Canis lupus familiaris: one gene and its partner. The protein of the gene in region 1 purifies or fractionates together with the protein of each later gene. This does not show direct contact. Links are inferred from orthologs where the notes say so. Each region holds a gene or a part of one and is shown on either strand. Other genes may lie near its edges.

The links.
Region 2: the proteins of TESK1 (region 1) and RABEPK purify together in Homo sapiens (affinity purification with mass spectrometry; 3 studies listed by BioGRID and IntAct, with this or other methods). This does not show direct contact. The link is inferred for Canis lupus familiaris from reciprocal best matches to the Homo sapiens genes TESK1 and RABEPK.

Annotation. Positions count from the first base shown.
Region 1 is NC_049232.1:52,460,149-52,464,732, reverse strand, and holds the start of TESK1 (dual specificity testis-specific protein kinase 1), read right to left. Parts: upstream 2,824-4,584; 5' UTR 2,809-2,823; coding exon 2,590-2,808; intron 2,478-2,589; coding exon 2,356-2,477; intron 2,226-2,355; coding exon 2,177-2,225; intron 1,654-2,176; coding exon 1,507-1,653; intron 1,180-1,506; coding exon 1,097-1,179; intron 921-1,096; coding exon 830-920; intron 576-829; coding exon 492-575; intron 340-491; coding exon 250-339; intron 109-249; coding exon 1-108. UniProt on the Homo sapiens protein: Dual specificity protein kinase activity catalyzing autophosphorylation and phosphorylation of exogenous substrates on both serine/threonine and tyrosine residues.
Region 2 is NC_049230.1:57,944,328-57,948,133, reverse strand, and holds part of RABEPK (rab9 effector protein with kelch motifs), read left to right. Parts: intron 1-1,213; coding exon 1,214-1,363; intron 1,364-3,269; coding exon 3,270-3,419; intron 3,420-3,806. UniProt on the Homo sapiens protein: Rab9 effector required for endosome to trans-Golgi network (TGN) transport.

The DNA of each region.
Region 1 (4,584 bases):
GTGTGTCAGGGGAGCCCTGGGGACAGGGGCTGGCTCAGGCAGCTGCTCCAGGATCCATTCCAGGTGCTGGGTGATCTCGGTGAAGGGAGCACGAGTGCTAGGTTCCATCTGATGGGTGGAAACAGGGATAGCTTCATTCAATGCTCCTCCAAAAGAAGGTCTCTACATTTTCCTCCCACCACCTGGAGCAGGAAAGCCTTGCCAACTGACGGATGGGGGTGGTGGGCAGAAAGAGAGTGAGGCTCTTACACTGCAGCAATGGATGGCCAGGAGCAGGAAGGGTAGCGGGCAGTCATCCCCCACCAGGGTCCGGAAAGCAGGCACGTCCAGGCCAAAGTCCTGCAGGAACAGAGAGGCGGAGCCTTCAAGTCTGCCTCCCTTGGGTTCTCCTTCTGACCCCCAATCAGGACCTCAACCTCCAGGGAACCCTCCTTGGTTAAGAGCTGCCCAGTCTGGCGTGCCTCCTTTTCAAACCTGGAGACATCATTCACCTCAGTTCGGGGCAGGTAATCCGGGTCTGCAGGTACTCTCGCGATGAGCTCACAGAGGACAATCCCAAATGCAAAGACATCGGCCTGGGAAGAGGAGAGAATGTCATTGGGAGGAACTGATAGTTTTCATGTCAGGATTTTGTCAGAATATGCCAGAATTTGGGGGAAGTCTTGCTGGTTTCATGTGTTGGAGAGGTGCCTATGAGGGGCTGAGGGGGGGGGGGTTTGGGGGTCTCCTAAATATTCAGTATGGCTGTTAAAGAACTTGGGATGGGGCCTTATAAAAGTATCTCAAGGGTCCCTGGAAGGCCTTGGAATCTGAAGGCTTGATGTCTTACCTTCTCATCATACAGCTCACCCCGCAACACCTCTGGAGCCATCCAGTATGGAGAACCTACCACAGCCAATGGCTCCTTTCTTGCCCCTTCCCTGCAGGGGTAGGGGCAGAGTGATCAGAAACATCCCACTCAGACACCCCCCCCCTAAACAAAAGGGGATGAGGTCAGCCCCCTCCCCACTCCAAAGGAACTGTCTCTGGGGGCTTCACTTAGATAGGGACCTTCTAGAAAGTTTTTTTTGGGGGGGCACAGGAGCATTCACCTCACCTATACACAGGAATCTTTTCAGCCAGCCCGAAGTCACCCACAACAGCCGTGAAGCCTCGGTCTTCCCGTCGTATCAGACAGTTCTGACATACACATAGCATCCCCACATACCCATCACCTTCTGTTCTCTGATCTCCTAGTATATATACCCTAAAGCCCTATCACTCCAGAGTAACCTCAACTCTCTCTGACCTCCCAGTTCTCCAGTGTACCCCAATCTTTCAATATTATCACTTCAAACATAGCATGCTTAGCCCCTCAGAGCTCCCTCCCCCCCAGTCCCCATTCTCCAGTGCCTTGTTACTCCAACATCGTAACTTGTCTACTATCCACATTCCAACATCAGGGGGCCAGTTATAGTGTAACAGTCTCAAATCCCTTTCATGCCTCTATTCACCTGGCCAGCCTACCTTGGATGTTAGGTCTCGGTGGAATACACCTTTGGCATGCAGGTACCGCAGGCCACGGGCAATGTCCAGAGCCAGGCGGAGCCTGACAGGCCAGGATAGAGGTTCCGGGGAGCTGAGCAGCTGTTCCAGGGTCCCCCCATTCATATACTGGGGCATAGAAGGAGATGAAGAATGAGTGTCAAGATTTCCATCTGTACTCTAGGTCTCCCACTTGTAAGTCAGAGGACACTCAGGAGGATCGCAAAGGTCAGAAGGGTGAGTCTGTGCTCTAAGGTCCCTCCCCACTCATCTTCTAGGGCTGTCCTGTCCAAGACATGAACAACTGTTTAAATTATTAAGTTCAAATAAAATTAAACATTTAGTTCCTCAGCCACACTAGTCATATTTCTACTGCCACATGCAGCTGTAGAACATTTTCATCACTGTGGAAAGTTCTGTTGGACAGCACTGTTAGAGCACACATAGAGAATGTAACCAACTGAGGCATTTTATTTGTGGTTAGCCCAAAGGGAAGTTCAGGGAAGCCTCTCATGGGAGGAGGTCCTGCTGCCTCTCATTATTCCTCTGTAGATGCACTTGGCCCTGACTCTCTCCCCCCTAGGTGGTGGCGGTGGTGGTGGTGGTGGTGGTGGTGGTGGTGGTGGTCCCCTCCTTCCGGGCCCATCCTCACCTCTGTAAGAGCGTGCAGCTGCCCCTGGTGCACACAGACCCCCATGAACCTGGAAGGGGATGGGGAAGATAGAAGGGTAGACTGTTAAGAGTCCAGGCCCCTCTACAGTTCCCGCTTTTCCCGCGGGATCTTTCCTCTTCTCCCAGCAAGCTTCTCAGCAAGCGGCCGGGGCCGCTCACCTTAGGATGTTGGGGTGTCGGAGCCGGTTCATCAGCTGCACCTCCCGTAGCGTGTTTCCTCGGTTACTGGGGAGTCTGTTCATTTTCAGCACCATGACTTGCCCTGACTGTCGGTGCCTAACCTGGGGACGGCAGATCCGCCAGGTCGCGCGGGGTGTCCGGGTCTGGGTCCCCTAGTTCCAGCCTCCCGTCTAAGGCTCGGTCCCGCCCCTCTGCCCTCTCTGCTGATCCTACCTTATAGACCTCAGAGAAGAAGCCGGCCCCGATCTTTTCGGCGCAGTGGAAATCGTCCACGCGCGCCAGGCTGGACACGGCGCTGCGGAGAGCCCGGTAGGAGGAGGGGCGGCCCCGGCCAGGGCCTCCACCCGTGCCCCCCGGCCCCGGGGGCCCCTCCCCCGGCGCCTCTCCGGGCCCTGGCCCAGGGCCCCGCAGTGGGGGCCGTTCCCCGGCCATGGCCGGGCCCCCAGCCCGGGCCTGCCTCACATGGCAGGGTCCCCGGGGCCCGGGCAGGCCGCGCTTGCCATGGGCGTGCGCCCAGCCCGATCCCGGACGCCGGGGCTCCCGCTCCCGCCCTGGAGAATGGAAGATCCGCGGAAGATCTTGGGCCCGCCCCCGCCGCGCCGGCTTGCAGGGCCCGGGTAGACGCCGCTCCGCTTCGCTCTGCGTAGGGCCTGGGCCTGGGCCTGGGCCGGGCGGTGGCGGCGGCTCTCCTGGGCGCCGGCGGGCAGGCGGGCGGCGGGCGGCGGGCGGCGGGCGGGCTCCCCGCAGGCGGAGGCGGGCGGGCTGGCGGGCGGGCGGGCGGCCGCTGCTCCGCTTCGCCGCTGGGGCTCAGGCTCCGCGGCCTGCCGGGGGCGGGGCTGAGCCGGGCCTCCGCTTAACTCCTTCCAGCCCGGCCCCCGGGCAGCGGCCACGCCCCCTCAGGTAGGCACCCCGCAAGCGGTGACCGCGACACCCTAGGCGAGCGGGTCTGGGACGTTGGGGCCAAGAGAGTTCAGGCCCGAGCTAAATGGCTGAAGGAAATTACGGGCTGGTTGCGCGTACGCGCGGCTCGGGTGTCTTCCAGCTGCCCTTTCTCTCTTCCCACCCTCAGGCCACGGACTTGAGAGCCGGGCTCAGGACGCCGCCGGATTCCTGGGCTCCGTGGACCAGCGGGGCAGAAAAGTAGCCCCTTCCGGGCCAGCCACGGTCGGAGGGAGCCCAGCAGCCTGCCTGCCTTCCCGGCCCCCGCTCTGGCCCGGCCTGCCCATCTCCCAGGTCTCCACCCCTGCGCCTCTGGATTCCCGGACACCTTTGCCCCTCTCGGGCGGCTCCGATGCCCTCGCGAGCCTGTGGCCAGTCCGTCCCCGGTGTGGCCCCGCACACCTCCCTACTCCATCCTGCCTCCCTGGAACACAGTTCAAAGGAGCAGAGGGGTATCCGCCCGGTGACCACCCGGCCCGAACCTTCCCCTTACTCTTTCCAGCAAACGGCCCTATCTCTCGGCAGAGAAGCCTCCACCTGCCCGGAAGCCCCTCCTTCCGTGGGGTCCCGCCCCTCAGCAGAAGCCCCGCCCCCCGAGGGGCCCTTCCCCTTCCCTCAGTGAGACCCCTCCCCGCAGGGCGACCGTTTCTCCAGAGAGAGCCGCCGTCAGCGGCGCCGGGACCCCTCCCGGCGACGTCCCTCCTCTGTGTGTTCCTCCCTCACAACGAGACCCCACCTCTCAGAGAGACGCCACCGGTCTTTGTGACCCCTCCTCTCAACGTGGCTCCTCCCCTCCGTGCGCCCCAGCCCTTAGGAGTGTGACCGCCTCGGGAGGGTTCGGCCCTCCACCTCGTAGGAATCCGGTCTGCCCCCTCCGGCTAGAGGGAGAGCTGCAGCCGGCCTCCTTCCCGTCGGCGCTGGGCCCGGAACGCGCACGCCCCGCGCACCCGCCGTACCCAGAGCTTCCGGTTCTCCGCTGGCTGCCCCTCCCCCCCGGGCGTCGGCGAAATAGCCAACTACCGCCAGGGATTAGAGTGACGTCGCTGGATCCGGCCGACGCCTCCGGGGCCGCGGGGGTGGGCGGCAGTGAGCAGCTTGCCACCTAGCGGCGGAAAGGAGGGCGGCGGGCGTGGAGGCTGCAGGTCCCCGGAGCCAAACGGGCTGCGACAGAGCTTGCGGGAGGAAGGGTGAAGTCTGTTCAAAAATTCTCCAGTACCGCATTTCTATTTTTGTGGTAAGACGGAAAGGAAATTAATACAAGTACAGGCC
Region 2 (3,806 bases), on another chromosome or scaffold:
GAGGCAGAGACACAGGCAGAGAGAAGCAGGCTCCATGCAGGGAGCCCGATGTGGGACTCGATCCCAGGTCTCCAGGGTCACACCCTGGGGTGAAGGCAGGCGCTAAACCGCTGAGCCATCCAGGGATCCCAATCTTCAACATTTTATTTTATTTTATTTATTTTTTTTTTTAAATTTTTTTATTTATTTATGATAGTCACACAGAGAGAGAGAGAGAGGCAGAGACACAGGCAGAGGGAGAAGCAGGCTCCATGCACCGAGAGCCCGATGTGGGATTCGATCCTGGGTCTCCAGGATCGCGCCCTGGGCCAAAGGCAGGCGCTAACCCACTGCACCACCCAGGGATCCCTTCAACATTTTAAAATAAATACATAGTATTCTATCATGACTGCAGCAATAACAACCACTCACCTATTGGTGCACTGAAGCTACTTTCAGAGTTTCTCTATTACAAACAATGCTGTGATGAACGTGTTTGTGCATAATAATTTTTCAGATTATTTCAGATTGTGTTCCTTCGAACAGTGGGGCTCCATTCACAACCTCAGGCATGCCACAAATAGTAATTCTAACACAAACTTTCGTGTTCTGAGTACTTTCTCTGAGCTTATGCTTTATGTACATCATCTCATTTAATCCACACTTCAACTGGAGAGCTAGGTATTCTCTTTATCCCCATTTTACAGCTGTAAAAACTAGAGCTTAGGGAATCACTGATGCAAGGCACAAAGTTATTCAGTGAAATGACCTTGTTTTAACGCCACAGCCTGTGTTGTAACTCTTATCCTGTACTGACTACTTCAAAAGTAGTCTTTTTCCCCCATGCTTCCAGCAAATCAATTAAAGATATTGTCTTGAAAAAGGAGGACTCTGAGGGCCTGTCACAGAAGAACCAAACTTGTTCTTTTAAACTCTGGGGCAGTTCCAGGTTGAAGCTTTTAAAATTCAAAACAAGGAATGGCTTCCTAATGCCCAGTAGAAGGAGCAGGCATGTTAGGTAGTAAATTCTCCAGCCCAGGAAGTGTTCAAGCAGAGTCTATACAGGCTTAGAAAAAGGGAGAACTGGATTGGGTTGGCAAGTTGGAGTGAATAACCCCACTGTCACTTTCTGCTTTGAGCATCTCAGCTTGCTGGAAAGTGAAGCTTGGGTCTATTTTCTCATGTTCTTGCTTCTTAGCTTTTTCATCTGTTGTCAATGAATTTACTTTTCTAGACAGTCTGACCTGGTCACAGCCAGAGACACTTGGAAAACCTCCATCCCCACGGCATGGTCATGTGATGGTGGCAGCAGGGACAAAGCTCTTCATCCATGGAGGCTTGGCAGGAGACAAATTCTATGATGATCTCCACTGCATTGATATACGTAAGTAGGATAGAGGGCATAAGGGCTTGTCTGCTTAAAATTAATTAAAATATGCTTTGATAGAATATAGCTTCACTCATAAGTGTGGGTAAATTGACCAGCCAGCAGAATCTTAGCTAGATTTGACAGATTTCTGTCAAATGTGGCCTGAATAATAATAATAATACCAATGAAAGCAATCACTTTCCGAGTGTACTCGCTATGTGCCCAGCCATTAATTATCTCTTATGTTTCCAACAACCCTGCTCTTTCATTAAAATTCATTATGCTTGGGTGGCCCAGGTGGCTCAGCGGTTTAGCCACCGCTTCAGCCTGGGGGCTGATCCTGGAGACCCGGGATCGAGTCCCACGTCGGGCTCCCTGCATGGAGCCTGCTTCTCCCTCTGCCTGTGTCTCTGCCTCTCTCTCTCTCTCTCTCTCTCTCCCTCTCTCTCCCTCTCTCTCTCTCTGTGTCGCTCATTAATAAATAAATAAAATCTTTAAAAAATTCATTATGCTTTGTATTCTCTGACTGCCATTAATCATTAACCCTATGCTCATAAGGGGCATGGATAATTTTGAATGTGTCCGGTGGTTGGTGACCAGAATTACCATGCTAAATGGTTAAAAACACCAGAAAGAGGAGTTAGGGAGAATGTGAGAATTGTCCATAGGGTCTGAAGGGCTGACAAGTCCTAGAGATCCTGGACTCATTCTGGGTCATTCTTTCAGACTATGAGCTCCCTTAGGGCTGGGGTTTTGTCTCTTTTGTTCCTCTCCAGTATATTTCCAGCACTTAACACAGTGTCTGGTAGATTGAGGGGGATGACTGCATATCTTGAGTGGATAAATAAATGTCTTTTGCGTTGCTCCAGACTACAAGAATTGGAACAGTGGGCAGAAGGCAGGAGAACTGCTGTGTAGTTTATTGGGCTACCTTGCCCAACAATGGATTCTGTGGCTCGGTGACATCTGAGGCTAGGCAACACTGGCTGGGATTATTATATTGGCAAGAGTTTTGGCTACACTGGGTAATTCTCCCTTCCAACTCTGAGATGCTGGGTCCCTGCCTTGAATTGACAGATGGAAAATATCTTCACAGAAGTGTTCCTTGCAGCAGTCAAATGGAGTTTTAATGCGTATTTTAAAAGAGAAAGCCCTTTACTCCCTTGCACTGAGGAACTACTTTCTGGCTACTTCTCACCCTTTCCTACCCCATTAATTCTCTAAACCTAAAATTCAATAATATCTTGCTTCATTTCAATGTTTGTTTGAAAAGATGCAAATATCTTTGCAGAAATAGTTTGGGAGCAGGTGCTTGAAGCAGCACATAAAGTGTGGAGAACACAGGTTCTAGCATCAGACTTGATTATCATTCTAACTGTGCAGCTTGCTGGCTGTGAGATCTTAGACAACTATTTCCCTCTTTGATGCTGTTTCTTCACCAGGAAAAAGAAAGAGAGGAGGCAGAAGTAATAGCAGCTTCATAGGACTGTTTTCGAGCAAGCAAAATATTTAAAGTGTCTAGCCAGCACTCACAAAAGTTGTTTTCTAAGGAACTGATAGTATTTAAAAAGCACACACACAGGCATGGAACTTAACTCCTTCCGGGCTCCAAATTGGTAAATGGTGACAGTCACCAAAGATATTATATTATTCAGTGTGCTCCAAAGACCATTTACATCAGACTCACCTGAGATACTTGTTAAAACTATAAAGTGCTGAGCTCCTCCTCCCTCCCTGGACACCCAAACAGAATTTCAAGCTTCCCCAGGTAATTTCTGTGCAAATTAAACCTTGCTGTATTACCTCTCAGGGTGCTTTGTGAATGACCTTCAGTGAGTGGTTTGCCCACTGCAAGAGTCTGACAGGTAAGGTTGAGTCCATATTCTGGGTCATGTTGTACCCACTTTCTTTCTCTTGGCAGGTGATATGAAGTGGCAGGAGCTAAGTCCCACGGGGGCACCTCCCACAGGCTGTGCTGCCCACTCAGCTGTGGCTGTAGGGAAACACCTGTACATCTTTGGAGGGATGACTCCCACAGGAGCACTGGATACAATGTACCAGTATCACATAGGTGAGCAGGTGTTCACTGTGGGTCTTTAAACAAATGTTTAAACAAATATGACCAGGATGCCTGGGTGGCTCAGTGGTTGAGCATCTGCCTTTGGCTCAGGTCATGATCCCGGGGTCCTGGGATTGAGTCCTCCATTGGGCTCCCCACAGGGAGCTTGCTATCCCCTCTGCCCATGTCTCTGCCTCTCTCTGTCTCTCATGAATGAATAAAATCTTTTAAAAAATAAAATAAAATAGGGCAGCCCCGGTGGCTCAGCAGTTTAGTGCCACCTTCACCCCAGGGCCTGACCCCAGAGACCCGGGATGGAGTCCCACGTCAGGCTCCCTGCAGGGGATCGAATCCCCCTGCAGGGAGCCTGCTCCTCCCTCTGCCCGAGTCTCTGCCTCT